Linked DNA regions of Mus musculus. The protein of the gene in region 1 interacts with the protein of each later gene in a biochemical or structural test. Links are inferred from orthologs where the notes say so. Each region holds a gene or a part of one and is shown in the gene's direction. Other genes may lie near its edges.

Evidence for each region.
Region 2: of the proteins of Mapk3 (region 1) and Srebf2, one has a biochemical effect on the other in vitro, tested with the Homo sapiens proteins (2 studies listed by BioGRID). The link is inferred for Mus musculus from reciprocal best matches to the Homo sapiens genes MAPK3 and SREBF2.
Region 3: of the proteins of Mapk3 (region 1) and Ptprj, one has a biochemical effect on the other in vitro, tested with the Homo sapiens proteins (2 studies listed by IntAct, with this or other methods). The link is inferred for Mus musculus from reciprocal best matches to the Homo sapiens genes MAPK3 and PTPRJ.
Region 4: of the proteins of Mapk3 (region 1) and Ptprb, one has a biochemical effect on the other in vitro, tested with the Homo sapiens proteins (2 studies listed by IntAct). The link is inferred for Mus musculus from reciprocal best matches to the Homo sapiens genes MAPK3 and PTPRB.
Region 5: of the proteins of Mapk3 (region 1) and Sp1, one has a biochemical effect on the other in vitro, tested with the Homo sapiens proteins (2 studies listed by BioGRID). The link is inferred for Mus musculus from reciprocal best matches to the Homo sapiens genes MAPK3 and SP1.
Region 6: of the proteins of Mapk3 (region 1) and Dusp3, one has a biochemical effect on the other in vitro, tested with the Homo sapiens proteins (2 studies listed by BioGRID and IntAct). The link is inferred for Mus musculus from reciprocal best matches to the Homo sapiens genes MAPK3 and DUSP3.
Region 7: of the proteins of Mapk3 (region 1) and Gab2, one has a biochemical effect on the other in vitro, tested with the Homo sapiens proteins (2 studies listed by BioGRID). The link is inferred for Mus musculus from reciprocal best matches to the Homo sapiens genes MAPK3 and GAB2.

The regions. Positions count from the first base shown.
Region 1 is NC_000073.6:126,758,370-126,762,425, forward strand, and holds the start of Mapk3 (mitogen-activated protein kinase 3), read left to right. Parts: upstream 1-1,256; 5' UTR 1,257-1,276; coding exon 1,277-1,449; intron 1,450-2,361; coding exon 2,362-2,544; intron 2,545-4,056.
Region 2 is NC_000081.6:82,145,981-82,150,068, forward strand, and holds the start of Srebf2 (sterol regulatory element-binding protein 2), read left to right. Parts: upstream 1-1,288; 5' UTR 1,289-1,422; coding exon 1,423-1,510; intron 1,511-1,569; exon of another isoform or gene 1,570-2,197; intron 2,198-4,088.
Region 3 is NC_000068.7:90,451,596-90,455,095, reverse strand, and holds part of Ptprj (receptor-type tyrosine-protein phosphatase eta isoform 1 precursor), read left to right. Parts: coding exon 1-3; intron 4-1,602; coding exon 1,603-1,813; intron 1,814-1,922; coding exon 1,923-2,047; intron 2,048-2,948; coding exon 2,949-3,036; intron 3,037-3,500. UniProt on the Homo sapiens protein: Tyrosine phosphatase which dephosphorylates or contributes to the dephosphorylation of CTNND1, FLT3, PDGFRB, MET, KDR, LYN, SRC, MAPK1, MAPK3, EGFR, TJP1, OCLN, PIK3R1 and PIK3R2. Plays a role in cell adhesion, migration, proliferation and differentiation.
Region 4 is NC_000076.6:116,342,874-116,346,373, forward strand, and holds part of Ptprb (receptor-type tyrosine-protein phosphatase beta precursor), read left to right. Parts: intron 1-919; coding exon 920-1,183; intron 1,184-3,500. UniProt on the Homo sapiens protein: Plays an important role in blood vessel remodeling and angiogenesis. Not necessary for the initial formation of blood vessels, but is essential for their maintenance and remodeling. Can induce dephosphorylation of TEK/TIE2, CDH5/VE-cadherin and KDR/VEGFR-2.
Region 5 is NC_000081.6:102,423,316-102,426,815, forward strand, and holds part of Sp1 (transcription factor Sp1), read left to right. Parts: intron 1-2,315; coding exon 2,316-2,481; intron 2,482-3,500. UniProt on the Homo sapiens protein: Transcription factor that can activate or repress transcription in response to physiological and pathological stimuli.
Region 6 is NC_000077.6:101,978,292-101,981,791, reverse strand, and holds part of Dusp3 (dual specificity protein phosphatase 3), read left to right. Parts: coding exon 1-175; intron 176-3,500. UniProt on the Homo sapiens protein: Shows activity both for tyrosine-protein phosphate and serine-protein phosphate, but displays a strong preference toward phosphotyrosines. Specifically dephosphorylates and inactivates ERK1 and ERK2.
Region 7 is NC_000073.6:97,080,585-97,084,550, forward strand, and holds the start of Gab2 (GRB2-associated-binding protein 2), read left to right. Parts: upstream 1-1,166; 5' UTR 1,167-1,241; coding exon 1,242-1,322; intron 1,323-3,966. UniProt on the Homo sapiens protein: Adapter protein which acts downstream of several membrane receptors including cytokine, antigen, hormone, cell matrix and growth factor receptors to regulate multiple signaling pathways.

The DNA.
Region 1 (4,056 bases):
GGAGGAAAACCTGCAGGAGCTAATTCTCTACTTCCATTGTGAAGGTCCCAGAGATCCAACTCAGATCTTTGGGCTTGCTTGGCAAGCATCTTTACCTACCCAACCATCTTACCAGCCCAGCGTGGGGGGAGGGGGGGACAGAAAGACAGAGACAGACAGAGACAGAGAAAAGGTGACAGTGAATTTAAATTGATTTAGTTACCTTTGTCCACAGCTACCACCCTTTCCCTCCTTCTCCCGTGAAGTGAGCTGGGTTGCACGTCCTCTGGGCAATCAGGCAGAGGATTTGTACGACACTGGGGCCTCAGCACACACCTGAGCCCCCCTGCAGGCCTGTGTCTTCACACTGGAGTCAGGACCGACTTCACAGCTTCACAGTGCTGCCTGCCGTCCACCACCCTCCAGATTGCTTCCTCATTATAAAACGTAAGATATACTCCCTCAGCAACTCAGGGTGGCCCACTCCTACCAAGTCTGACAGCCTGAATTGGACACCTGGGACCCACATGGTGGAAGGAATCAGATGTCCTCTGACCTCCACACAGGCTCTGTGACATACTTACGCTCCAACACACAAAATTAATAAATGTGGCAAATAAACGAATAAGAAATTATGGAAGCTGGGCATGGTGATACATACAGCTTCTAACTAATCCTAGCACTGGCGAGTTAGTATGTTGAGGCCAGCCTGGTTACCTAGTCTACATAGTGAGTTCTGGAACAGCCAGTTCCATGTCAAGAGACCCTCTTAAAAAAGAAAGAGAGAGAGAAAAGAAAGGATGGAGATGTGGCTCAGTGGTAGGATGCTTGCCTAGTAGCATCCTGAATCTGTATGATGGCTCAGGCCTAAAGGCAGGAGGATGTGTTCAAGGCCAACCTCCACCACATAGAGAGCCTTTGGGGCTAGCCTGGATTACCACTATCTGTTTAAATGAAACAAAGATGTGAGGCAGGTCTTCAAAGGTTAACTGTAAGCCGGGTGGGTTCCCTTAGCATTACTGAGGGCCACTGGCCCCTGGGGCTGCAGAACTCTCTTGGCAGACTAAAGTACCCTAGTGGCCAAGGCAGGGAAGGAACAGCGTAACTAGGCGGGAAAGCCGGGTGCGCGCCCAGGAGACCATGTGACGTCTCGGGCCCGCGCAGGCTCGCCCGGCAGGCGCGGGGGCGGGACGCGCGGGGGCGGGGGCGGAGCCTGGCGCGCGGCCCCGCGGTGACAGGGCGGTAGGGAGGGGCGGGGCCGCGGGCGGGGCAGCGGGGGGAGGCGGGAGGAGTGGAGATGGCGGCGGCGGCGGCGGCTCCGGGGGGCGGGGGCGGGGAGCCCAGGGGAACTGCTGGGGTCGTCCCGGTGGTCCCCGGGGAGGTGGAGGTGGTGAAGGGGCAGCCATTCGATGTGGGCCCACGCTACACGCAGCTGCAGTACATCGGCGAGGGCGCGTACGGCATGGTCAGGTGAGGGGGCGTCCCGGGAGGGGGCTTCGGAGCAGGGACAGCAGGTGTGTGCTCGGGACATGGGGGGCTCAGGGAGTGTCGCAGGGGAAGTATCGTGCAGTGACTTCTGGAGGACTAGGCGCTACTTTCTCCAGGGAGGGGGGTTGGAGGCTTTGAAGCCACCTTGTATTGTTAAGGGAGGGGCACCTGGGGGACCCTAGAGATAAAGGTGGAGCTAAGAGGATGAAGGGGGAGTGAGGGACCCACGAGCAGGTAGTGGGAGCCTTGGTTCCCCCCTGATGAGGCTGTGACAGAGAGTTTGAGAGAGGAGAGCAAAGCTCAGGGTGGGGCAAACCTTTGCACCTCTGCCCCTGGCAAGGCTAGGGGCCCAAAGTAGGGAAGGGTCTCTAGAATGTGCCTTATTTTGTGGTATACGGGTTTGTGAGTTCTCGCTGCCCCACTGTGTGCTCTGCTCTGGGCCTTTGTTCCTATGGGAGCAGCTCTGACCCAGGAACCGCACAGGGAGACCTGCCTGCCCCTCCTTATCTCTTCTCTCCTGTCCCATTACTGAATCCTCTAGGCTTCATCTACTTTCTCCATTTAACTCCTATCCCCTGGACCTGTCTGGGATTGAGAGAGTCCAGCTTGGGAAAGGGGAGGAGGGTGAGGGCAACTAGAATGTAAGAGGGTCCAGGAGAAAGGAAGTCGGTGAGTGGCCACTCTCTTCCTCTGTTTGTGAAGTCACTGAAAGGCTGCCTGGCTGATACCCAGCTTTCCCCTGGAGATCCCAGGCCTTCACAGCAGGAAGGAGCCAGCATTGTTTACATTTGGCCAGAACCCTCTCCTCCTCTCTCCAGTCCCTGCCAAGACCTGGGTGGGGCCAACAGGCCTGGATTCCCCCTTTGTAAGGCCACATCTCTCTGGCCCTCTCAGCTCAGCTTATGACCACGTGCGCAAGACCAGAGTGGCCATCAAGAAGATCAGCCCCTTTGAGCATCAAACCTACTGTCAGCGCACGCTGAGGGAGATCCAGATCTTGCTGCGATTCCGCCATGAGAATGTTATAGGCATCCGAGACATCCTCAGAGCGCCCACCCTGGAAGCCATGAGAGATGTGTATCCTTCACCTTAGCCACAGCCCCAGAGTAAAGCTAGGGAGCTTGGCTCTGTTGTCTGTGGTCATCTTTTGTACTACCCTCCAAAAAAAAAAAACCCCAGCAAAGTAACTTTTTAGCAGAGAGTCTACAGAGCATGAGAGCACACTGGCAGGCCTTGGATCCTGGTCTGTCGCAGCCAAGTGGAGTGGCCTTGAACACATCCCTTTCTGCTCTGTGCCCCAGTATGGTGTGTGGGGAGGGAGAATGCTGTGGAAAAAACGATCTCTATGGGAGCTTTGTCTTCTGACATCTGCAGGTCTGTGACATGACCCAGTCTCTGCCCACAGCCTGTTCTTGCTCAACAGACTCACGATTCTTTCTTTAGAGACCTCACACTGGATGGAAAGCAAAGAAGAAAACCGGTATTGGGCAGGCCTAGTGCTTTGGTTCTAATTCAACCTTCTAGCTTCCCTGTGTGACGGATGAGTTTTACTGTGTCCATTTCAAAGATAAGGAAACCGAGGCTCCTCTGTGTTAAGTTTTGCAGTGCCTTCTAGGGGGAAGGGGAGTGGGCGATACTTAATCCAACATGGAGGCAGTGGAGGCTTTCAAACCACATTGTATTGTTAAGAGGGGGAACCTGAGGACCCTAGAGTCACAGGGTGGAGCCAAGCCTTTGCACTCCTGCCCCTGGCTAGGCCGGGGGCTCAAGGAAGGGTGAGGGGCCCTGAGAGTCTGCCTGAATTCGGCAGTTCCTGTTAGTAGCTTCCTCTTCTCCCCCAGTTGGCTTCCCTGGAGCCTTCCCACCTTTCTGAGAGCCCCACCCTGATCACCTGTGGACTTGTACCTTGACCAGGGAGGTTAGTCCAGCCCTTGTTGCCCTTGCTTGACACTACTTGCCTAGTTCAGACATCCAGTTCATTGTCCATATCTACTTCCTGCCTGGCTCCATTGTTAGCAGACGGTAGCACCCATGGCCTTTTCCCTACCCACCCCTCCCAATGCCAGGATTTGTTCTACAGCCTCTGCAACTCTGACCACAGGAAATCGACATACTCCCGTCTTGCTGCATGACCTTCAGCAGGTCTCTGCATCTCTAGACTTGCACATTTATAAAGCAGCAGGGTTGGTCCCTGTGTGTATATATCTGCAGGTGCTTATTCCCTCGTTTCTTCTTTTTGAGAAAGGGGTCTTGCTATGTAGATCAGGCTAGCCCTGAGCTCACAGGGATCCAACTGCCTTTGCCTTGGGGGTGACACCAGCCCCAGTTTACATGTCTTCTATAGAAGACAGTTCAGACTTCAGTTTTTTTTTTTTTTTTTTTAAGAAAGTTTCACAGTGTATCCCTGGTTGGCCTCAGGCTAACTTTGTAGACCAGACTGGCTTTAAACTTCTAGGCAATCCTCTAGCCCCTGCCTCCCAAGTGCTGAGATTATAGGAGTGAGGTGCTCTACCCAGCTCCTGACTATTCTTCCAAAGATAAGCCATTTGTTTTTGCTTAATCTTTGTTTTACCTTCAAGTATAAAAGGA
Region 2 (4,088 bases), on another chromosome or scaffold:
CCAGGCGCCTGATTGCCAGGATCTTTTTCCCTCTCAGAGCTGCAATACCTTCACTGGAGACCCTTTCCCCCTCAGAGCCTGCTGGAACACTTCATCCCAGAAGTTAAGAGCTGTTTGCTTGCCACGGAAATCAAATAAATGTGACAATGACAACTGTGGTCTTGTGCTGTTTTAAAGATGACAAACCAGGCTTATCAGCAAACAGTTGCTTAGCCAGCCCAGGAGCAGGAAGTGGCTTATTGGATATGCAGGTCTCCCCACAGAGCCTTCAGCTCTGACCCCCTAAGAACAACTGCCTCAGACTCACAAGAAGCTCTTCCTATGTATGCCATGAAAACCTTCTTCCTCTCAGTATACACTTAGGTCCTTTCTCAGATGTCCATTCCAGCATTTCTTTTTTTTAACGATGCCCTGATATTCTACTGTTTGGAGGTAATTTATGTACCTGATGCCTTACTGTGTTACTGTTTTCCCGTTAGAGAACTTTGTGATGAATGTCTTTGAATACATGTACTTAATAGCATTCCTCGGAACACTAATCTTTTTGTTTCTTCGGATAAGTTCTTGGAAGCGTGCACCTTTGTGTGCAGTGTGACCGACTACCTGTAAGATGATGCAGTGAGGTGACTGCAGGAGTGGGGCCTCACCTGGAGAGACCATTGAACAAATGACCTTGTCTGAAGGCCTTAGAATGATCGAGGTTTCCCAAAATTGAGGGCCAGTTGTAAAATGTTCACAATACTCAGGTGATCTCAAGACCCTGTTAAGTCTCGGATGGGATAAGTGTGACTTAGGGTCTGGATAGCCTATCCCAGAATGTTAGGGTACTATGATTCTACCCAGAGCTAGGGGGAGGGAAGAGGCAACTGGGGAGATGACGTAATGTGCTCCTAGAGTAAAGGGGGCGGTGGTAGAAGGTAGCGCCGGACAGCGGTGCGTTAACCCTTCTATTTCCGGGCTCTCGACAAAGTTGCTCCTGGAGCTGATCCAACGGAAAAGTAGCGGCTCCTTTAAGCCAGAAGAAGGCTGGGACGAGGACCCGGCGGCTACTCTCCGCTGGCGCTTGGATGCCGTGAGGGGCGGAGTCCCGCTATGCAAATCTGAGCTGCTGATCGATGACGCACCATCACCCCATGAGCCGCTTCGCGCGCCGATTGGCTAATGCAAGCCTGGTCCCATTGACAACAAACTTGGGGGTGCGGAGGCTCGGGGCGGGGCTGCAGTGGGCGCGGCCCGGGGCGGGGGAATTCTGCCCCGCCCCTTCCGTGGAGTCGGGGCGCAGCTCAAACATGGCGGCGGTTGGCACGGGGCGGTGAGGCGGTACCAGGTGGGGGCTGTCGGGTGTCATGGGCGGTGGCGGCGGTACCGCCTCCGCGTCTCCCTGAGCTGGACCTCACGGGGGACTCTGCGCCAAGCTGGGCGATGGATGAGAGCAGCGAGCTGGGCGTTCTGGAGACCATGGAGACCCTCACGGAGCTGGGCGATGAGCTGACTCTCGGGGACATCGACGGTGAGTGGCGGCGGCTGGGTGGGAGTGCGGGGGGCGCGCGGGGAGGAAGGGGTTACGGCGGCGCTCGCGGGTGCGCGTGCGCCCACCCCGCGATCGCCCCGGCGTGCGCGGGAAGGAACCCGCGGGGGCCGGGCTGCCCGGGAGGTTCCCAGTTCTTCTGGCTCCAGAGTCTGAGCCCGGGTCGTGACGCAGGGCTCCCGGTGGCTGAGGAGTCGTGGGCGCCGCGGGGCCCGAAGCGGGGCTGGGGGCGTCGCGAGTGCCGCCAGAGGAGAAAGCGAGGCGGCTGCCTCCCTCGCGCGCCCACACGCGCTCTGGTTTGTCCGGTCTTCGCCGGCGTCCCGCGTCGCACCTGTCACTCCCTGCCTGGCCACTGGAGCGGCTTCGGGATTTCCCGGACTGCGCTCCCGGGCTCGGCTCCCCCACGCCCCCGCTCTTTTCGGGATTGACTGACAGCCGGGTCTGCGGGCGCTCTGGAAAACTTTGGGCAACAGCTGCAAAAAGCAAGTTACTGATGGAGTGGACAGAGACCGCAGAGTGCGGCGGCCTTGGATGGAGACCCGGGCGCTCCTGCTGTCGCACTGCAAAGGGAGTTGAGCAGCAAGAATTTTGAGTTGTGGCCCCTCGGGTACAGACTAGGGAGCTGGTGGCCTTTGTTTCGGCGGCCTTAACAGCGAAGTGGAAGAACTGGTAGGAGCCCAGGGAACCTCTCTTAAAATTCTCTCACTTTTCAGCCACGGGAAGGAAGGTTTGGAGAGGGTCCCAGACTTGCCCGCGGTCATCATGCTGGTTAACAAAGCCCAGTTCTTTCTGTTTCTGAGCCACTATTAGTTTCTTTCCACTCCACCTTTAAGAAAAATAGGCTAGTAATTAAGTCATTCTCAGTAGTCAGGGCTCTTCTGAAGTTCTCAGTCCCAAATACTTTGCGTTAGTTCATTTATTCAATCCCGCTGAATTGGGTATCGCTCAGTTTTGCCGGAGGTGTCGTTTAAGGTCACTTACTTTAGAGAGTCCAGAACTCCTAGGCAGTGACTCAGTTTATGGAATGTTACTACACCTAGAATCTAGAACCTTGCAGGCAGATGTGATGGCCACATCCTCGCTTCGCAGGCGAAGAAGCAGGTAGAAGGTTCTCTCGTGGAGAAAGGAGTGACAACAGTTGTTTAAAGAAGGTGTTGGCCAGGTGCCTGTTTTGCTTTTGTAGCATTTTGTAGCATTTTTCCCTTAGGGTTCGCCCTTACTTCTCATTTTGGTCATCCAGACAGTGTGACAAGCCCGTGTATTGGAAGTTCCACTTTTAACCACAGATTCTTCCACCAAGGATCGCTAAACACTAAGATAGGTTAACGAATGGGAGGGGTTACTCCTTGGAACGTGGGAGTGGCTAAAGTGTTTTGAGCACCCAGGTACAAGATAAAAGTGTTAAGCACTCACACAGGTTCCCAATACTTATCACAGCCCTGTCAGATAAAGATGGATGTCAGACTGGCCATCTCCCCTCACCGTTGTTGGGACTGAAGCCCAGCGCTGTTCATTAGCATACCCAGGGTTCCCTAGTCAGTAAGGATGTCTAAAACTGCCTGCCAGCAGGTACAAGAGAAAATTCATCTTGGTCTTTTTTTTTTTTTTTTTTTTTTTGTACTTACATTTTATAATGATCTTTATTTGTCTGCGTTTTCAGTCTATTAAATCATCTTAGCGGTTAATATTAACCTTATAGATTGCTAAGTCTCACGGAAAATTTTAGGACCACCTGGGGTTTTGTATGTGCCTAGGGCAGCAAGTGCAAGTCAGAGGTGGGAAAGCTTCCTTGAAGGCTAGTTTACCAGAAAGATCACACCAAGGAGATAGCCATTGACCTTAAAAGACAAGAAGAACCAGTTGAACAAAGCTAAGGACACCGGGCTAGTTGGAAGTGTCCCCTGAACCCTCTGTTCTCCTGAGCAGGTTACTGGAGGGGCGGGGGGCGTGGTACGACGGGACAAGGGGACAAACCACCTTTCTTTTTCTTCCCTCTGTTCTTTGCACCGAGAACAGCCCTTGGGACAGTGAGAATGCTCACTGTTTATGGAATGTCTGTATGAGTACCTGGGACAGGATACTAAACGGTATTAGGTATAGTTTCCATGATTGGATCAGGGTGAGCAGCCCATGTGCATCCAAGAGGAGGAAGAGGAGAGGTGATATGAATGCACTTTTGTAACTGGAAGCCTAAAAGTCTCATGGCTGCCTTCAGGAGCTCAAGGAGCTGTGAGTCCAAGACCAACAGGGTCTCTTCTTAGTCGGAGAGCTTTACGTTCTTTAAGTTCTTCTTTCTTTTTTTTTTTTTTTTTTTTAAAGATTTATCTATTTATTATGTTTAAGTACACTGTAGCTGACTTCAGACAATCCAGAAGAGGGAGTCAGATCTTGTTACAGATGGTTGTGAGCCACCATGTGGTTGCTGGGATTTGAACTCCAGACCTTCGGAAGAGCAGTCGGGTACTCTTACCCACTGAGCCATCTCACCAGCCCTAAGTTCTTATTTCTTTGGGGTAAAATAAATGGTCACTGACCTGGAAATATAGTTCCATGGCAGGGT
Region 3 (3,500 bases), on another chromosome or scaffold:
AAGGTAAGAAGGGTCCAGCATGGGCTAACCCGTGTGATGGCACTGTCTTGGCTACTTTCTTACTGCAGAGATAAAACACCATGACCAAAGCAACTCGTAAAACAAAGTGTTTAGCAGGTTTACGGTTTCAAAGGGTTAGCAGCCATGATGGCGGAGCAAAGGCTCAGTGGCAGGAACATTTGAGAGCTCACATCTTGAGCCACAGCTAGGAATCAGAGGGGCTGGGGCACACACTGGCACTCACACTCGAAACATCGATGTCTACCCCTCAGTGACACACGTCCTCCAACAAAGCCACATTTCCTAATCATTCCTGAAAAGCTCCACCGACTGGGGACCAAGCATTCAAATCCATGACCCTCTGGGACCATTCTCATTCAAACCACCACTGTGTATGAGGTACATCAGTGGCACCAACAGGGAGGGCAGCTGTTTACCTGGTGCTTTCAAGGATCAGGTAGGAAGTACCTTAAGCTGCCCTGGCCTTGAAGTCTCTGTCACAACTATTCAGCACCTTTGTGGTGGTATGGAAACATTACAGAAGATGCAGGAGAGACAAGAGGGCCCATCCCACAGTTGATTTACCCAACTCTGAGGCTGGATTTGGACCCTAGGCCATAACCAGTCAATTTAGGAGGATGTGCCCTTGAAAGCAAGCACAAAAAGATTACTTGGGGCATTCTGAGGGCATCTTCTGGGTGGAAGAAGAGGGGAATTGGATGGCAACTCTGTGGCAGTAAGAAGGGAATGCTCTGAGGACAGCTCAGATAGCAGCATGGTATCTGGTTTCACACAAACCAGGTCTAGGGAGTTAGCATGGTTGGTAAAGTACTTGCCTTGCACTGGCCCTGAATGTAATCCCTGGGACCTATATTAAATGAAAAACTGTGCATTGTGATATGACCTTGTAACCTCGGGGCCAGGGAGGCAGAGTCAGGAGGATGTCTGGGTGTCAGCAAAGCTGGCTTGGTGAAGTTCCAGGCTAGAGAGAGAAAGAGACCCTGACTCAAAAGAAGAAAAAAAGGAGAAGGTGCCTGAGGAATGACACCTGAGTTTATCCTTTGGCTTCCACGCACATAGAGGACATAGACACGTATGCATGCAAAGTAGCTCACACACATGCACCTGCATCCCTATGAACACAAATCAACAAAACACGGCATTTCCCCCGACTTTTAAAACTGTTGAGCCTGTTTCTAAGCTCTTTCAACAAATTGCAAACTCAGACCCATGCTGAATGAAAAAGACCCTGTTATGCGGTGACCAGACCAGTCAGCAGCAGCTGGACTCAAGATCTTGGGCTAGGAGGTCAGGAACTCCAGCTTCACAGTGTGGGCAGCCTGCTTTGGGCAGGTCTCTGCTAGCTTTCTGTACTTTGTTATTCTTGCTTGAGAATAGGGGCCGCAAGCTTTTGTGAGTGACTCCTGACAGAGAGATGAGGTGGTACAAGCCAAGTCCTAAGCGCTCTCCTGCTCCTAGAACTCCTTGAGAGACAGTGGCTGCTGCCTACTGTTGCTCAGCACCTGTGTCATCAGGCAGCCATGTTGTGACACATGCCTTTCTGCTGTCACTCATCTTTTACCTTCTGTGTTCCTCTCTTAGCTGCCCAACCTTCTGCAGATGTTTTGAAGTACACGTATGAGGATTTCAAAAGGGGAGCCTCGGATACTTATGTCACATACCTCATAAGAATAGAAGAGAAGGGACAGTCTCAGGGCTTGTCTGAAGTCTTGAACTATGAAATTGATGTGGGGAACCAATCCACTACCCTCGGCTACTACAACGGGAGGCTGGAGCCTCTGGGCTCCTACCGGTAATATCTGGGTCCTTGCAGTTGCCTTCTGAGCCTCGTGAATGTCAGGTTGTGTACTATGAGGTAAATACACCTCAGTCACCTTATTTTCTCCTTTGCCTCCCCACAGGGCTTGTGTTGCTGGCTTTACCAATATTACCTACAACCTTCAGAATGACGGCCTCATCAATGGGGATGAGAGCTATGTGTCTTTCAGTCCATATTCAGAGGCCGTGTTCTTGCCCCAGGACCCAGGTAGAGTGAAACAAAAGCCCTGATGTGGATTTTGTGTCTTGTGTCTGCAGAAACTTGCTGACCATGCCCCTCTCTCAGGTGGCTTGGAGGGTGGAGGATTTTGGCTCTCTGAAATTGACATGTCCCTTGGTCTTTGGGGTCAGCCTAGCTCCCCACTCTGGGGTGCTTGAAGGAACAGCTCCCCACTTCTCCTCTAAACTGGTCACACTTCTTCAGATTACTTAGTCCTTTGCTTTCTAGGAGTCATTTGTGGGCTTGTGTGAGTTAGTTAAGAGTCCTTGAATTAGAAGGAGCCACAGGAATTGTCTTGTCTAAGCTCTGCTTAGAAAGAAGGCTTTTAAGGCTTAGAGAGGGGGTGTGCCCAGTGTTACACAGTGGCTTAAATGCAGTTCTGAAATTCTAGCCTTAAACTCCTTGTGAGGTGTTCTTCCTACTCAAGATCACAGAGCTAGATATGTGGGGATCTCAGGTAGCTGACTGGTCTGTTAGCCTGCTTTTCAGAGCTACTGAGTCGAACAGATTACCCAGAATCGAATTTCAGGGCGTTCCTGCTCCTTCTCTTAAATAGCTCCCAAAAAGGGTGGGCATGGTGTTGTAGGTAGTTTTGCTCATAGGTGACAAGAAAAACCAGTGATCTAGCTGGCTCAGGTCCCCACATTTGCAGCAGAACAGAGACCTAGGTCAGGGCTCTGCTGTTTCCAGGACTATCCTTCAAATGGGTGAAGGGAGAAGAAATCAGCCCTGAAAGTTGTTCTACTTTTTCATCCAAAGATATTTACTTGTTCGCTGTGTGCACACACTCCCTCTCTCCCTGAATCCTGCATGGGCAGGCTGGCTGTGTGTGTAGCACATGGCCCTTCGTGAACACCCATTGAAATCCCACTGTTGGGGTCTTCCCCAGGTGTCATCTGCGGAGCAGTGTTTGGATGTATCTTTGGTGCCCTGGCCATCACAGCTGTGGGAGGCTTCATCTTCTGGAGAAAGAAAAGGTGATATTGCTTATTAATCATCAGGTGCTATTGTTGAAGGGAACTTTCTATTATATGGAATGGCAACCGTATGTATAATCAGAGGGAAGAGTTGAAAGAGCCCCTGTGTTCTTCACAGTGTCACCACCTGGCCAGTCCTCTTTCCTCTCTGACCTCCTCCCATCTGCGTCAGTCCTACACTGACTTGCTGGATGCGACTTTCAAGTCAGGATTCTATGAATGTGTTAAGAGTTTCATAGGGTTTTAGAGTTGGGCAAGTTTGAACTCAGGTTCCATCCTTGCTCGTGGTTGGAAGCCCTGACACTCTGTGGTGTGGGAATGAGTCCCCGGCTTAAGGAGCTGAGGACACTGACAAATGTCTCACTCCATGACAACATTATTCATCGTTCTCTTTGTACCACCACCCTGTGGTGTAGTTAACTAGTGAGAACAGTGCTGTGTACCTGGATTTGTTGTCACCCTGA
Region 4 (3,500 bases), on another chromosome or scaffold:
GTGGCTGTTTGTAAACTACATTTTGGCACGAGTAACTTACAAACGTCCTGTTTCTTTACTTTTGGGGCTCTGTGTTTTTGTTGCTTGTTGGGTGCAGGGAGTAAGGTCTATTGATGAGAGTTCAATGACAAAAGAATCTCACAGCAGAAGTTCTCACGGGCAATGGGCATGACACTCGTCCTGAACACAGTGGATGGGCTTGTACTTGACCCCACAGCTGCCAGAGATGAACAGTTTCTCAACCACCTTACATATCTTCAGACTCACAGGCTTTGAACTTAATGAAACTCCACTTCTTTGAAATGTAGATGGGCAGCTAATGGTGAAATTTGGGAGCTTGGCTCTCTGTTCTCAATCACATGATCCTTGTTTTGCAGTATGGTACACAGTGACTGTGATTTAGCAATACAAACTCTAGCCGTGATGCCCTAAGGCAGTGGTTCTCAACTTTCCTAATGCTCGGATGACCCTAATGCTAGGATGCTATGATGTTGTGATGACCCTCCCCCCAACCATGAAATTATATTCGTTGCTACTTCATAACTGTAATTTTGCTACTGTTGTGAATAGTAATACAAACATTTCATATTCAGGATATCTGATCTGGGACCCTGGTGGGGGTCACAACCCACAGGCTGAGAACCACTGCCCCAAGTCTTCCCAAAAGCACATTATTTGTCTGGGCCACAGACCTGTAAAAATCAGAGCCAGGAACATCATCTAGAAAGGGCTGTCACTAAAGTCTTATAGGGAAATCCATGCTAGGAGCCTGCTGTTTGCATCTATTGGAAGTCGAGGCATCTTAAAGTCAAGGGATGATGTGTTTGGGGTTGAATGTGTCCACCAAGGTATTGATTCTGGGATGTGTCAGGAATATGGCAAAATGCTGACCCATTCTCTTGTTCCTTGACACTTTCAGTCCCAGCAGCTGTCACCAATCTGAGGATCACAGAGAACTCCAGTAGATACCTGTCCTTCGGCTGGACCGCCTCGGAGGGTGAACTCAGCTGGTACAACATCTTCCTCTACAACCCAGACAGGACTCTTCAGGAGCGAGCTCAAGTTGACCCGCTAGTCCAGAGCTTCTCTTTCCAGAACTTGCTACAAGGCAGAATGTACAAGATGGTGATTGTCACTCACAGTGGGGAGCTGTCCAATGAGTCATTTATATTCGGCAGAACAGGTAAGACCCAGGCCCAAACAGTAAGGGATTGCCAGGGAGGTGTCACAGTATCCACCGGCTCAGCCTTGGTTGTTCATCCTTCCCAATTCTGTCCAGAGTGGACCTTTATATGAATGTGTGACCTTGAAACTTTGACTCTAACTCAGACTAGGTATGAGTTGTGTCTTCTTATTCTAGTGGCTATCGTTCCTATTTAGTTATCTGGTGGGGTTCATGAAAAATTAACCCAATTCCTCTACTTGCCAGCAAACTATTCAAAATAGGGTGGTAACCATCATAGCTCTAGTCAAAGTATGTCCAGCAACTTCCTACAAGTAATAGATTGTGGTCGGGGCAGGTCCACAGAAGGTCAACTTTGTATCTACAAATCACACACACACACAAATGCATGTATGCATGCTCACACTGAGCTCTAGTTAAAATGAACAAGATTTCCAGGAAACCAGGATACAGAAATCTCTCTGGGCTGTAAATGAGTTGAATTTTTCCAACTTCTTCATCGTTTGGCAATTGCTTTTCAGTGCTTTGAGGTGCCAGGTACATGACTCCTGGAAAATCGAAATGACCAAGAAAGATAAGCTCCTGACCTTAGACAGCCTCGTGATAGAGGAGAGAAGAGGGTTGATGTCTTAGGATTTCCATTGCTGAGAAGAGACACCATGACCAAGACAACTCTTACAAGGACGACATTTAATTGGAGTTGGCTAACAGGTTCAGAGGTTCAGTCCATTATCATCATGGCAGGAAGTATGGCAGCATACAGGCAGGCATGAAGCTAGAGAAGGAATTGAGAGTTCTGGCACCTTGATTGGAAGGCAGCCAGGAGAAGATTGACTCTTCTGCACTGGGAGGGGCTTCAAAGCCCACCCTCACAGTGACACATGTCCCCTAACAAGCTCACACCTCTTAACAGTACCACTCCCTATGGGCCAAGGCAATTCAAGCTACCACAGTTGGGATAGAAGATTTTAAAGGGAGATGACTTTTTTTTTTAAAGATTTATTTATTTTTTTATTATATGTAAGTACACTGTAGCTGTCTTCAGACACACCAGAAGAGGGAGTCAGATCTCGTTACGGATGGTTGTGAGCCACCATGTGGTTGCCGGGATTTGAACTCAGGACCTTCAGAAGAGCAGTCGGGTGCTCTTACCTGTTGAGCCATCTCACCAGCCCCGGGAGATGACTTTGAAACACCTTAAATTCCATGAAATGAGCATGTCTAGACCATGGCTTAGCAGAACAGGACATTACTTTAAACAGAGGACATTTCAGCTGAGACCAGAAGGTGAGAAGAGAAATGCAAAGAAAGTATGCCAAGGACGTTCAATGAAAAGTGTCTACTTGTCCCCCAAGGGAGCTGAAAAAGAGCCATGACAACCCTCGACCACAAACCGCATTGCCTAGATCTTAAGACTGTTACCTCTATGCTTGGTCAGGAGAACTTGAACCATTAATAAACAGAAGATGGGAGATGTGTGTATCCATGGTGGTACACAGCTTAACCCGCAACACTCAGGAGACTGCAGAGAGCCGAGCGAGTTTAAGAATTTCAGCTACACAGAAAGATTCCATATTAGAGAGGGGAAAAAAAGAGTCCCCAACAAGTCCTCATTATCCAAAGAATACCAGCTTAAATCAAATACCTATGGAGCAGGTAGTGTTGTGTAGGGCAATTCCCCCTAGTTATTAGATTGACTGATAAAGATGACAAGAAGCCAGTCACTGGGCAAAGATGTGAAGGCAGATCAGGAAGAGAAAGGAAGAAGAGAAGGGTGAGATGAGATGGAGGCCAGGGAGAGACAAGATAAAGGGAGAAGGAGATGAAGATAGAGCTGACCCACAAGGCCTGGACAAGCCACAAGTGGCTAGGGATTTCATAGATGGGCAGTAGAGTAATGTAGGGTACATTTGCCCAATTTAGGGGTACAGCTTGAATTCATATCAATTGAGTTCTGTGTTCTTTTTTATTTGGGGGTTGGAGATTTACCATTATAAATCTGGCTGATAAAAGTCTCCAGTGTTATTATTTTCTGGGGCTAAGGGGACTGAATGAGGGCTCCAGGCATTTCAGGAAAGAGTGGTTTGGTCAGCTTAGCAAGTGGAGATGGAGAGAGCTAGCTCGGGAGCAGGTTTTTGATCGGAGTGGCTTGGCAGCAGGCTGGCCACGGGAATCAGGGCAAGATGGCCATAGGGGCTGGGTGAGACCGCAGACGACAGCTATTAGTGGAATTTAGTGTGGCTCATTTTTTTAAAACTACGGGCAACAGTGTTGTGGCTGGTTTATATCATCGTAGAAAGGGCTCTGAGTGCTTCTT
Region 5 (3,500 bases), on another chromosome or scaffold:
TGCTGGGACTAAAGGCGTGTGCCACCACCGCCAGGCTTGGACATGCTTTTAATACTGGTATGAGGGAGGCAGAAGCTGGTGAATCACTAAGTTCCAGGCCTCCATATTGAAATCTTGTGTTTCTGTGTTGGTGTGTGTATATAAATGTGTATGTGTATGTGTGTGTGTGTGTGAGAGAGAGAGAGAGATAAACATGAAGGGAGGAAGTAAAAAAATTATGTGTACTTGTACGTCTACCTCTGTGTGTGTGTGTGTGTGTTTGTGTGTGTGTGTGTGTGTGTGTGTGTGTAAGCCAGAAGGTGTTGGATACCCAGGAGCTGAAGTTACAGACTAAGGACTATAAGATTGTTAAGAGACCTATTATAAGAACTAGGTCCTGGGGCTGGAGAGTTGGCTCAGAGGTTAAGAACACTAGTTTCCCTTCCAGAGGTCCTGAGTTCAATTCCCAGCAACCACATGGTGGCCTCACAACCATCTGTAATGGGATCTGGTGCCCTCTTCTGGTGTGTCTTTCTTTTCTTTTTTTTTTTTTTTTTTTTTCTTTTTCTCAAGACAGGGTTTCTCTGTGTAGCCCTGGCTGTCCTGGAACTCACTCTGTAGACCAGGTTGGCCTCAAACTCAGAAATCTGCCTGCCTCTGCCTCCCAGGTGCTGGGATTAAAGGCACTTGTAGACAAGTCTGTAGGTTTCTTGATTAATACTTGATATGGGAGGACCCAGCACAGTGGGAGCTGGGTATGGTGTAAGCAGGATGACGAAGCCTTGGAGATTAAGTCAATCTTGCCTCTTGGTTCTTGCCTCATTCTGCCCTGTCAGGATGGAGTATGGCCTAAGAGTTGTAAGATGAAGTGAACCCTTTAATTTCCAAGTTTGTTTGTTTTTTTGTTTTGTTTTTTTGTTTTTGTCGTGTTTTTCACAGCAAGATGAGAGATGGGAATCTAGAAGCCTAATTGGAGTTTTTAGAAATATATAGAAACTAGCTTTTTGAATGGTAGAATACTTGTCTATTGTGTGGAGGCCCTCGGATCAGTTCTAGAAGGTGTTTTGTTTTTGCTTTACAGTTCTTGATGTTCATGATGTCTTCATCATACTTTAGTAATTCCCAAGATTTTTTTTTTTCTCCCCAAAGAATAAGGTTTTGACTCTTAGTGATCTTGGAAGGTTGTGGCTTTAGCCACACTTCTTTACTTAGAAGAAACTGAAAAGATGTTTAACATCCATAGTTGTTTCAGAAATTGATGCTAGAGGCAACAGTTGGGTTTGGCCAAGACTGTCATTACACTGTGCCTCTGGTTTCCTATCTACTTTCATCACAGGAAGGCCAATCTTTAATTTATCTCATTGCTTAACTAGTAGTACCATGTTTTAAGAGTAAACTGTTCTAAAACTATTATTAAAAGGGGTGGAGAAAAGATTCCAGAATGATATTGATGTCATTTTGGCTTCGTATTTGGCATGAGTATCACTCTTTAGCCAAGGTCATCCTGGAACTGCTATGTAAACTTAAACCTGTAGTCCCTTGGCAGTCTTTCAGGTACTTATTCAGGAGGTTGAGTCAGAAGATTGCTTGAACCTAGGACTTCAAGGTCATCCTGGGCAAATATAGCATGACCTTATGTCAGATTAAAGTAAGAGAGAGAGAGACGGGACTGGAGAGATGGCTCAGCAGTTAAGAGCACTGTCTGTGTCCTGAGTTAAGTTCCTAGCAACCACATGGTGGCTCACAACCTTATGTAATGGGATCTGATGCCCTCTTCTGGTGTGCATGAAGAGAGCAGTGGTGTACTCATATACATAAAATAAATAAATCTCAGAGAGAGACAGAGACACACACACAGATCTTGAAGAAATGGTGTGTTATGAGCTAGTGAGATGGCTCAGCAGGTAAAGGCACTTGCTGTCAAGGCTGACAGCCTGAGGTTGGTTACTGGAACCCATGTGGTAGAAAGAAAGCCGATTGCCAAAAGTTGTCCTTTGATTTAGACAAGCATCCTACACATATCACTCATGGAAGAACTGTAGTTAAAAGTTAGAGCCGGGCAGTTGGTGGCACACGCTTTTTTTGTTTTGTTTTGTTTTTTGTTTTTTTGAGACAGGGTTTCTCTGTATAGCCCTGGCTGTCCTGGAACTCACTGTATAGACCAGGCTGGCCTCGAACTCAGAAATCCACCTGCCTCTTCCTCCTGAGTGCTGGGATTAAAAGTGTGCTCCACGGGAAAAAAAAAAAAAAGAGCCAGTCGTGGCTGACTCTGTTGTGAAATTTCGGTAGCTATTTAGTCCTGCCTTTTCACCTTTCTCCTTGTCTTTTTATTTCAGGTGATCATGGAACTCAACTTGGTCTTCATGGATCTGGTGGTGATGGGATACATGATGAGACAGCAGGTGGAGAAGGAGAGAATAGCTCTGATCTCCAACCCCAAGCTGGACGCAGGACTCGTCGGGAAGCATGTACATGCCCCTATTGCAAAGACAGTGAGGGAAGGTGAGTTCATTTTCTTGATTATAGAATTTTTCTTTTACTTTTTTTTTCTTTCTTATAAAAATATGAGGAAAAAATGATAGGAGAGGACTGGAGAGATGGTTCAGTGGTTAAGAGCACTGACAGTTCTTCCAGAGGTCCTGAGTTCAATTCCCAGCAACCACATGATGGCTCACAACCATCTGTAATGGTATCCCAAGTTGTCTTCTGTTGTGTCTGAAGAGAAAGAGAGTGACAGTTGTAGTCACACGTGTCTGTAATCCCATGTTTTGTGACAGACTTTTCCTGAGGAGGTATAATAAGTACATGTGTCTTTTTTTTTTTTTTTTTTAGTTTTTTGAGACATGGTTTCTCTGTATAGCCCTGGCTGTCCTGGAACTCACTTTGTAGACCAGGCTGGCCTCCAACTAAGAAATCCACCTGCTTCTGCCTGTCAAGTGCTGGGATTAAAGGTGTGCCACCACACCTGGCACATGTGTCTATTTAACCCCACATAGGGAGTATATAAATAAAATGAGGGTTTTGAGATAAAGTTAAGAACAGGACTATGACTTCTCCAAGGTGTAGTTGAGGGGAAGGTTTTTATTGTAGATAAAGAGGTAGGGTACAGCCGGGCTTGGTGGTGCACACCTTTAATCCCAGTACTCGGGAGGCGGAGGCAGGGAAATTTCTGAGTTGGAGCTCAACCTGGTCTACAGAGTGAGTTGCAGGACAGCCAGGGCTGCACAGAGAAACCCTGTCTCGAAAAACAAAAAATAAAAAATAAAATAAAATGAGGTAAGGTACAGCCAGAGGCACTGAAGAGTTCAGAGCAAGGAGAGAAAGTAGACTAAATAACAACCAGTAGATTGGACTTGGCCATAACAGGAGAGAGAATGGGGTAGAAAGTGAGAAAGATAAATATGAGAGGCAAGAGAGCACCTGTCTAAATGGCAGGGTTACGTGGGAATGATAAGCTTAGGGAGGGAAGATTATAAACTGGAAAAGTTTAGGTTAGGGGCAGGGGGAGAAGAGTCAGAATG
Region 6 (3,500 bases), on another chromosome or scaffold:
CTGAATGCTGCCGAGGGCAGGTCCTTCATGCACGTCAACACCAGTGCTAGCTTCTACGAGGATTCTGGCATCACCTACTTGGGCATCAAGGCCAATGATACGCAGGAGTTCAACCTCAGTGCTTACTTTGAAAGGGCCACAGATTTCATTGACCAGGCGCTGGCCCATAAAAATGGTAAGGAACGTACATTCCGGCACCCATGGAGCGTAAGCCCTCTGGGACCTGCTTCCTCCAAAGAGGCCCCCACTTGAAAAAGGTTCCAGAAAGATCCCAAAATATGCCACCAACTAGGGATTAAGTGTCCTACATGTGAGCCGATGGGGGCCACTGCATATAGTCTGTGCCATAGACATGACAATGGATAATAATATTTCAGACAGAGAGCAGGAGTTAGGTAGCTGTGCTCCTTTCCCTTTAATTGAGTGTGCCCATTTTTTTATTCATGTATGTGTATACATGTGTGTGCACACATGCCATAGGTTGATACTGAACACCGTCTTCAATCGTTCCCCACCCCACCTTATTTTTTGAGGCAGGGTCTCTTCCCTGATCCTGGGGCTCATTGGTTTATCTAGGCTGCTGGCCAGTGAGCTCTGGAGTTCTGCTTTTCTCTACCTCCCTAGCCCTGGGACTGCAGGGGCATGTGCTGGGTCAGGCTTTTATGTCGCGTTGGGGATCTGAACTTAGGTCCCTAGGCCTGAGCACCGTAAAGACTCTGCCACATCCCCAGCCTGTTTGAGCAAGTGAACCATTCCCCAGAATTCCCCCAGTGGGGCTTTCCTACCCTTTTATTGGCTAGGCATTCATGAGTGGTCACCTCGCCAGAGGAATGAGTGGCCACGACTGGCTCAGGGTCAGCAGCCTAGAGATCCTGGGTTAAGTCTTCCTGCCGCTCGCTCCCTGCAGCCGCAGACAGAAAGTAGGGCTGAATGAGAGCTGGCTAGTGGTCAGACAGGACAGAAGGCTGAGAGGGTCACAGGGCAGATGTCAGCAGAGCAGACAGGTTCTCCCTCTGTGGGGGAGGGGTGGCCCACTGCAGGTGTAATTGGCCTTCTTTGTGCTCCATAGAGGCTTCCTGGGTACACAGCAGCTTCCCTGTCCTGGTGATTCCCAAAGAGAACTCCCTACCACTGGACTTACAGAAGTTCTATTGACTGGTGTAACGGTTCAACAGCTTTGGCTCTTGGTGGACGGTGCATACTGCTGTATCAGCTCAAGAGCTCATTCACGAATGAACACACACACACACACACACACACACACACACACACACAAGCTAATTTTGATATGCCTTAACTAGCTCAGTGACTGGGCATTTCTGAACATCCCTGAAGTTAGCACACATTTCCCTCTGGTGTTCCTGGCTTAACACCTTCTAAATCTATATTTTATCTTTGCTGCCCTGTTACCTTCTGAGAAGCCCCTAGGGCCACTTCCCTTCGCACCTACATTGCTGGATGGTTTCTCTCCTGCAGCTCTTAAATCTGATCCCTCTGCCTCTGAGCCATGGGAACAGCCCAATAACTGAGTTAGACATAAAAACGTCTCTAGCCAAAACTTCAGCTAAATTTAGACAATAAATCTTACTGGTTGTGGAATCCTTAAGATTCTTCATGACCTCCTTCACATGGCACGAGTATGAAGCTTTATTACAATTGTTTATTGATCAAACTAACTCATAAAAAGCCAGTTGTCTTTCACCTGCTCAAGGAAGGAACAAAATTCATCCTTAACTGATCTGTGCACCTTGCACAATCCATACGAATATCTTAAGAGTACTAAGATTTTGGTTGTGAGAGTCACATGTTACAGAATGTACAGCTTTGACAAGGTGCATCCTTGGGATGCCGAAGTGACCTGCTGTTCCAGCCCCCTACCTTCTGAGGCTGTTTTGGAAGCAATGCTCTGGAAGCAACTTTAGGAGGTAGGATGCTGGAACAGCGGGTCACTTCAGCATCCCGATGACGAATCCCGTCAAAGCTGTACATTCTGTAACAGACTGGGAAAGCTGCAGACTTTAAGGCCAGGGCCCTATGGTCCCTCTTAATCCCTGTCACACCCAACCCGAGCCCTTCTCCTCCAGCCGTTCTGTGCTTCTCACTCTGGATAGATGGAGAACACGGCCTTGCTAGTTAAAGGAGTGAGGCTTCACCCTTCTCACATGGCAGTGGTTGGTCATCCTCATTCAGGGAACTCTGGGGCATTCTGCCTTTACTTCCTCTTTTTGGACTACAGGGAATATATGCTGACTTGTTTTGACCTTGTGTATGGGGAGACTGGATCTTTGGTCTGGAATGTTTCCTGCTAGTTTTTCCCCATCCTTTGGCAAACCCTATCTATATCTTACCACTAGGCATAGTGGCCCTCGTTCTGGAGCCTGCCTTCAGGCTGGTTCTCGGGGACCATGTCCCTGGTTTCTCCCCAGCATATGGTGTTCACAGTGTTCACTGCGGGTGGTTGCTGAACAAAGCGGGGATTGCATCCCAGAGCTCCGGTGCCTTGTGGGTACACTGCTAAGATAAAATGGATACTGGCCTCTCTCTGACCACTTGCAGAGCTCTGGTGCCTTGTGGGTACACTGCTAAGATAAAATGGATACTGGCCTCTCTCTATCCACTTGCAGGACTCTAGGGAACAGGAATCCATTACTGAGAAAACCAGGGGCTAGGAGCAGGGAGGTAGCTGGGCAGCTGAAGTGCTTGGCGACTAACCAATGAATACCAGAGTTTGGATCTCTAGAATACTCTTAAAATCTGGGTGGGCAGAGTGGCCTGCCTGTAATCCCAGAACTCGGGAGGCGGAGACAGGGAATCATCAGAGCAAACTGGCTAACCAGAATAGCAAAACACTGAGCTCTGGGCTCTGTGAGAGATCCTGCCTTAACATATAAGAGAGAGAATAAAACATTGAAGAAGACAGTAGATGCCAATTTTAAGCCCCCACATGCACATGGACAAGTGTGCGTTTGAACACACATATGCACTCATGTGAACCAGGCATGCACACTCGGGCTTATCACACACATAATTTGAAAGAGAGAGTGAGAGAGGAGAGTGCACATTAGAGTTCACAGGAAAGTGTGAGTGAGCACACCCATGCACACAGACATGTGTGCCAGGGAGTAGGAAAGGAGCCTGGGTTTGTGTATAAGAGGGAGCCATCATGTGTTTCTAAGGAGGGCGTGTGAAGGAGGCGTTGTGTGGGCTGGGACTGGAGCATGGTTGTAACTGAGCATGCTCCCTGTGGGAAACAGGAGGGTGGCCACCCTGCAGAGGGTCCCACTGTCCAGCGGGATCAGTAAAAGCCCCTGCTGAGAACTTTAGGTAATAGCCAGAGAGAGAAAGGTAGGAAAGTGGGGGGACTCCCATCTCTGATGTAGGAGGATCTGGGCAAGTAGAGGTGCGTTTGAGGTAGAAAGAGGGGTGCAGAGGAGATGCTCTTAATTCTGGGTCAGCAGTTTCTTTCCAAATAATGCCTGTGAGGAGGTGTAGGTGGTGGC
Region 7 (3,966 bases), about 30 Mb from region 1:
TCCTGGTCCTTTATCTCAACCCTCTCAGCACAAGCCAGTGAGAAAAAGATCTCTATATTCACATTTATATAGGAGAGATCTCTTATAAAGTCAATGAGTGGAAACTCTGGACATTTTTATCACAATTTCTTGTTCTTTTATACCTCCTTGTTTTCCAATTCATTGTGTTCTGCAAAACTTACAGTTTCCTTTTACTGGATTCAGTTTTCCCAGAGGCACTATGGGAGAGCGCCAGCTGGACTTTGTTTCTCAGCAATAAGATCTAGTCCCGTCCAGTCCCCCCACACCCCCCCCCCAAGCACCCTTTGATCTACAGACATTACTGCAGTAATGTCACTCTGGGAAAAAAAAAAAAAAACAGGAGAGAAGATTCCCCTCCCCTCCTCCCAAAACACCTGGATTAGAAAGGCCTGCATTGTGTCAGCTGTGTGGCTTCAGGCTATCTGTAAAATGGGTATAATTATGACCTATCCAATTTGTAAGGCAGTGAAGATAATCGCTGTGGAAGGTGAATGCAGTAAGCTCCCAGCACACAGTATGTCTGTTTGCTGCTTCTCTGGCCTAGAGATGTGAGAGTTAACTTACAGTGAAGCAGGACTCATTTCAGCCAGAATCGGACTTACTGAAACCTGAAACTGTGGGAATGGACAGGAAACCGGAGCAGTCCTTGGATCTCTGTCCTACTCTTCCACGACGCTGGGGAAGAGGGGTTGAGCATAGGCTCAACGTTCGACCTAGGGTGGATAGCCTCTGGCCTTCCCTCACCCTAGCACCGGCACCACCCAGAGGTCTTCACGACCCCGCCTGCAGCTCCAGGCTTAGAGGGGGGAAAAAACCAACAACAGCCACCAAGACCCTGAGGACGCAGCTGCTGGCGACAGCTCGTCTCACGGCCTCCGGGCCTGTGGGGTCCAGGCTAACTGGCCTCTGCGCCGGCTGCCCTCGGGGACCTCGCGGGGCTGTGGGCGTGGCGAGCGCCCGCCTGCTGAGGCGCCCTGGTGGGGCTGTGTGTGTGTGTGTGTGCGCGCGCGCGCGCGCGGCCGGAGGGCGGGGGGGGGGGGTGGAACTCGAGCGCGCGCAGGCAGCCGGGCCCGCGCGCCTCACTGCCTCGTCCTCGCCCCGGGGCTGCCGGGCCCCTCCCCTCCCCCGCGAGCCGCGCACCGGCAGCCGGCTGACCCAGCAGCCCGCGCCCGCGCCCTTGTCCGCGCGAGCCGGCGGCGGGCTCCAGTTTAGCCGGCGACATGAGCGGCGGCGGCGGCGACGACGTGGTGTGTACCGGCTGGCTGAGGAAATCGCCTCCCGAGAAGAAGTTGAGGCGCTATGTGAGTGAGGCGAGCGGGCGAGCGGGCGCGGCCCGGCGGGAGGGCGGCCGGGGGCTGTCCCGCGGCCTCGGAGATGGGGGCGCTGAGAGAGGCCGGGCGCGGCGAGCCGGGGCCCCGCGGCCTCCGAGGGCGAGAGCGGCGGGCGCGAGTGGGGCGCCTCACACCTGTCACAGGTGCGCCGCCGAGGGGCGGGGCGCAGGTCGGGGCTGCGGCTGCCGCCTGCCTCCCCGAGAACTCCTCGCTCGCCGAGCCGAAGTTTGGAGCGATTGTTCCGGGCGACCGGGAGAGTAAAACGCCCGGGGCCGAAGGAGCCGAGTCGCCCCGATCGGGAGGGTAGGCTGAGGGGCCGCGCGGCCCCGGGCCCACAAAGGGCGAGGCGCCGGCGCCCCTCTCCCGGTCCCTTTCTCTGTCCGCCCCTCCCCGGTGGCCGCCTTGCTTCCTTCCAGTCTGCGGCCACTACATCACGGGCAGCGTCAGCGGCATGTGCAGCGCTTGTATTAAGTGACTCATTTGTTTGTCCCCCTTCTTTCCCATTATTCCGAATGTTTCTCACATACCCCCCCCCCCCACACACACACACCGCGGTCCTCCGCCCCACGGGGTGACACTGCAGTTTGGTCCTCAATAACTGGCCAGAGTTTTGTGTCGTCTGGTGTCTGGGGTCTGAAGATGTGGCTCTGAATTGCTAGGTGGTGCGAGCTGGCTGTGTGTAGTGAAATTGGTGGGACGGGCCGTCCCCTCTACGTGAGAAACTGGCAGTTGGGGTCGGGGCACCCACTTCTTGTCTACCGAGCTCAGAGAACAAAATGGTGCCAGGATCCGAGATTGGGGTAGTCTGAGGAGTTTAGAAACGGAAAGTCCGTTAAAGGAGTGCAGGTCCTCCCATCTTCTCGCTCTCCACTTGCCAAGAATCGTCCTTGTTCTGCTGCCTGGGAGTGCTGGACTCTGAGAAATCACTCCCACAGCCTGGAAGTGAGCGGTCGCTTCCAGCTGCAGTGCATCAAGGGAGCTCCCAACAGACCCTGCCCTCTGTCAGCTGCACTAGTGGCTGGCCATGGGGGACAGAAGCTTACCAGAGTTTCCTGTCTCTACTCCCCAGATCAGAATCAAGGGACTTCTGGCCTCTGGACTGAGGAAGTGACATTCTGTTTTTCAAAGGAAGTGTTGTTGGGGAGTGCAAGTGTGTCAATGAAACCAGGCTCTGACTTAGGTCACTTGCTTGCTGGGAAGAGGGGGCAGGGGGAAGGGCAGGGAATCTAAGGATTTAGTGCATGCCTTTTGAAAATGGACAGAGATTTGGCATACAGTAATATAGTAGGGGTGTTTAAGCTTGAAAGCTCATTTGGGGGGGGGAGTTGATATGAGTAAAATATTTTAATTACTAGGAGCTTTTTCTTTTGTTTTGTTCTGTTGCCTGTTGCTGTAGCCTAGGCTTGAACTGCCAGCACTTACACTTGGGAAACAAGAGACAGGAGGATCAGAGGTTCAAAACCAGCCTAGCTTGCTACTTGAGACCCTGTCTCTCATTTGCATACCAAACAACACACACACACACACACACACACACACACACGCACGCACGCACGCGCGTGCCCATCATGGATGCACACAACTTCAAGATGGCTTAATGGGTAAAAGCAGTGTCCCTTAAGCCTGTTGACTTATGTTTGATCCTCTGGAACCCATATAAAGATGGAAGAAGAGTTCTGACCTACACACTCACGCTGTGGTGTCGCGTACACTCACACAGTCTCTCATATACACAATAATAGTTAAGAAAATTGTGTGGGGTGACTTTGTCGGGATTGGGTGGGGTGGTTGTTCACGCCTACAGGCATGAGCATGCATCCAGTATCTGGAAGATGGAGGCTGGAGTGGCAGGCGTTCAAGATCATCCTGGACTGCTTAGTGAGCTCAAGGCCAATCCAGACTACATGACCTGCCGCTGAAATAGTGTCCAGTTTAAAAAAATAAAATAAAGATTTCAGATTAGAAAGGAATGTAGCATAGTTGATAGAACGTTTGCTTAGCATACAAGATGTCCTGGGTTTTATCCGAGTACATCATAAACAAGTGCTGGGTGGCACAAGGCTGTAATCCCAGCATTCCAAGGGGGAGGGGGAAGGAGGATTAGAAGTTCAGGTCATCCTTGAATTTGAGAAAACAAACAGAAATACTACTTTAGAGATCTTTGGAACTTTGTTTTTTGAAATAGCTTGTAAAAAAAAAGTCGATACTCGTTGCTACTTTGACTCAGGACTGGATGAAGATACAGACTTACGAAGATTCTCTTTATGACCTAGCTCTTGAGTATTTTTTAGAACAGAGTTAGCTCAGAATAAGCCAAGTTTGGAGGCTTGTGTTAAACACAGATTTTACCCTTTTAAACTCCTTAGCAGTCTTGGGTCCTCTGGTGACCTCAGCCTCCTTCTCACACACATTCCCTTTGGCTCCAGCCCCTAGGGCATCTGACACATCAAGCAACAGCTTGGTGTGCCTGGAAGCCTCTCCCACTGTAGAAAGAAGTTTAGCCCTCCTACTTGAAACAGCCAATCAAAATAACTTATGCTTCCAGTACAGCCTCCTTCTACATCCACTACATTTCTGGAGTAAACAGTTGGCTTTTACACACACACACACACAG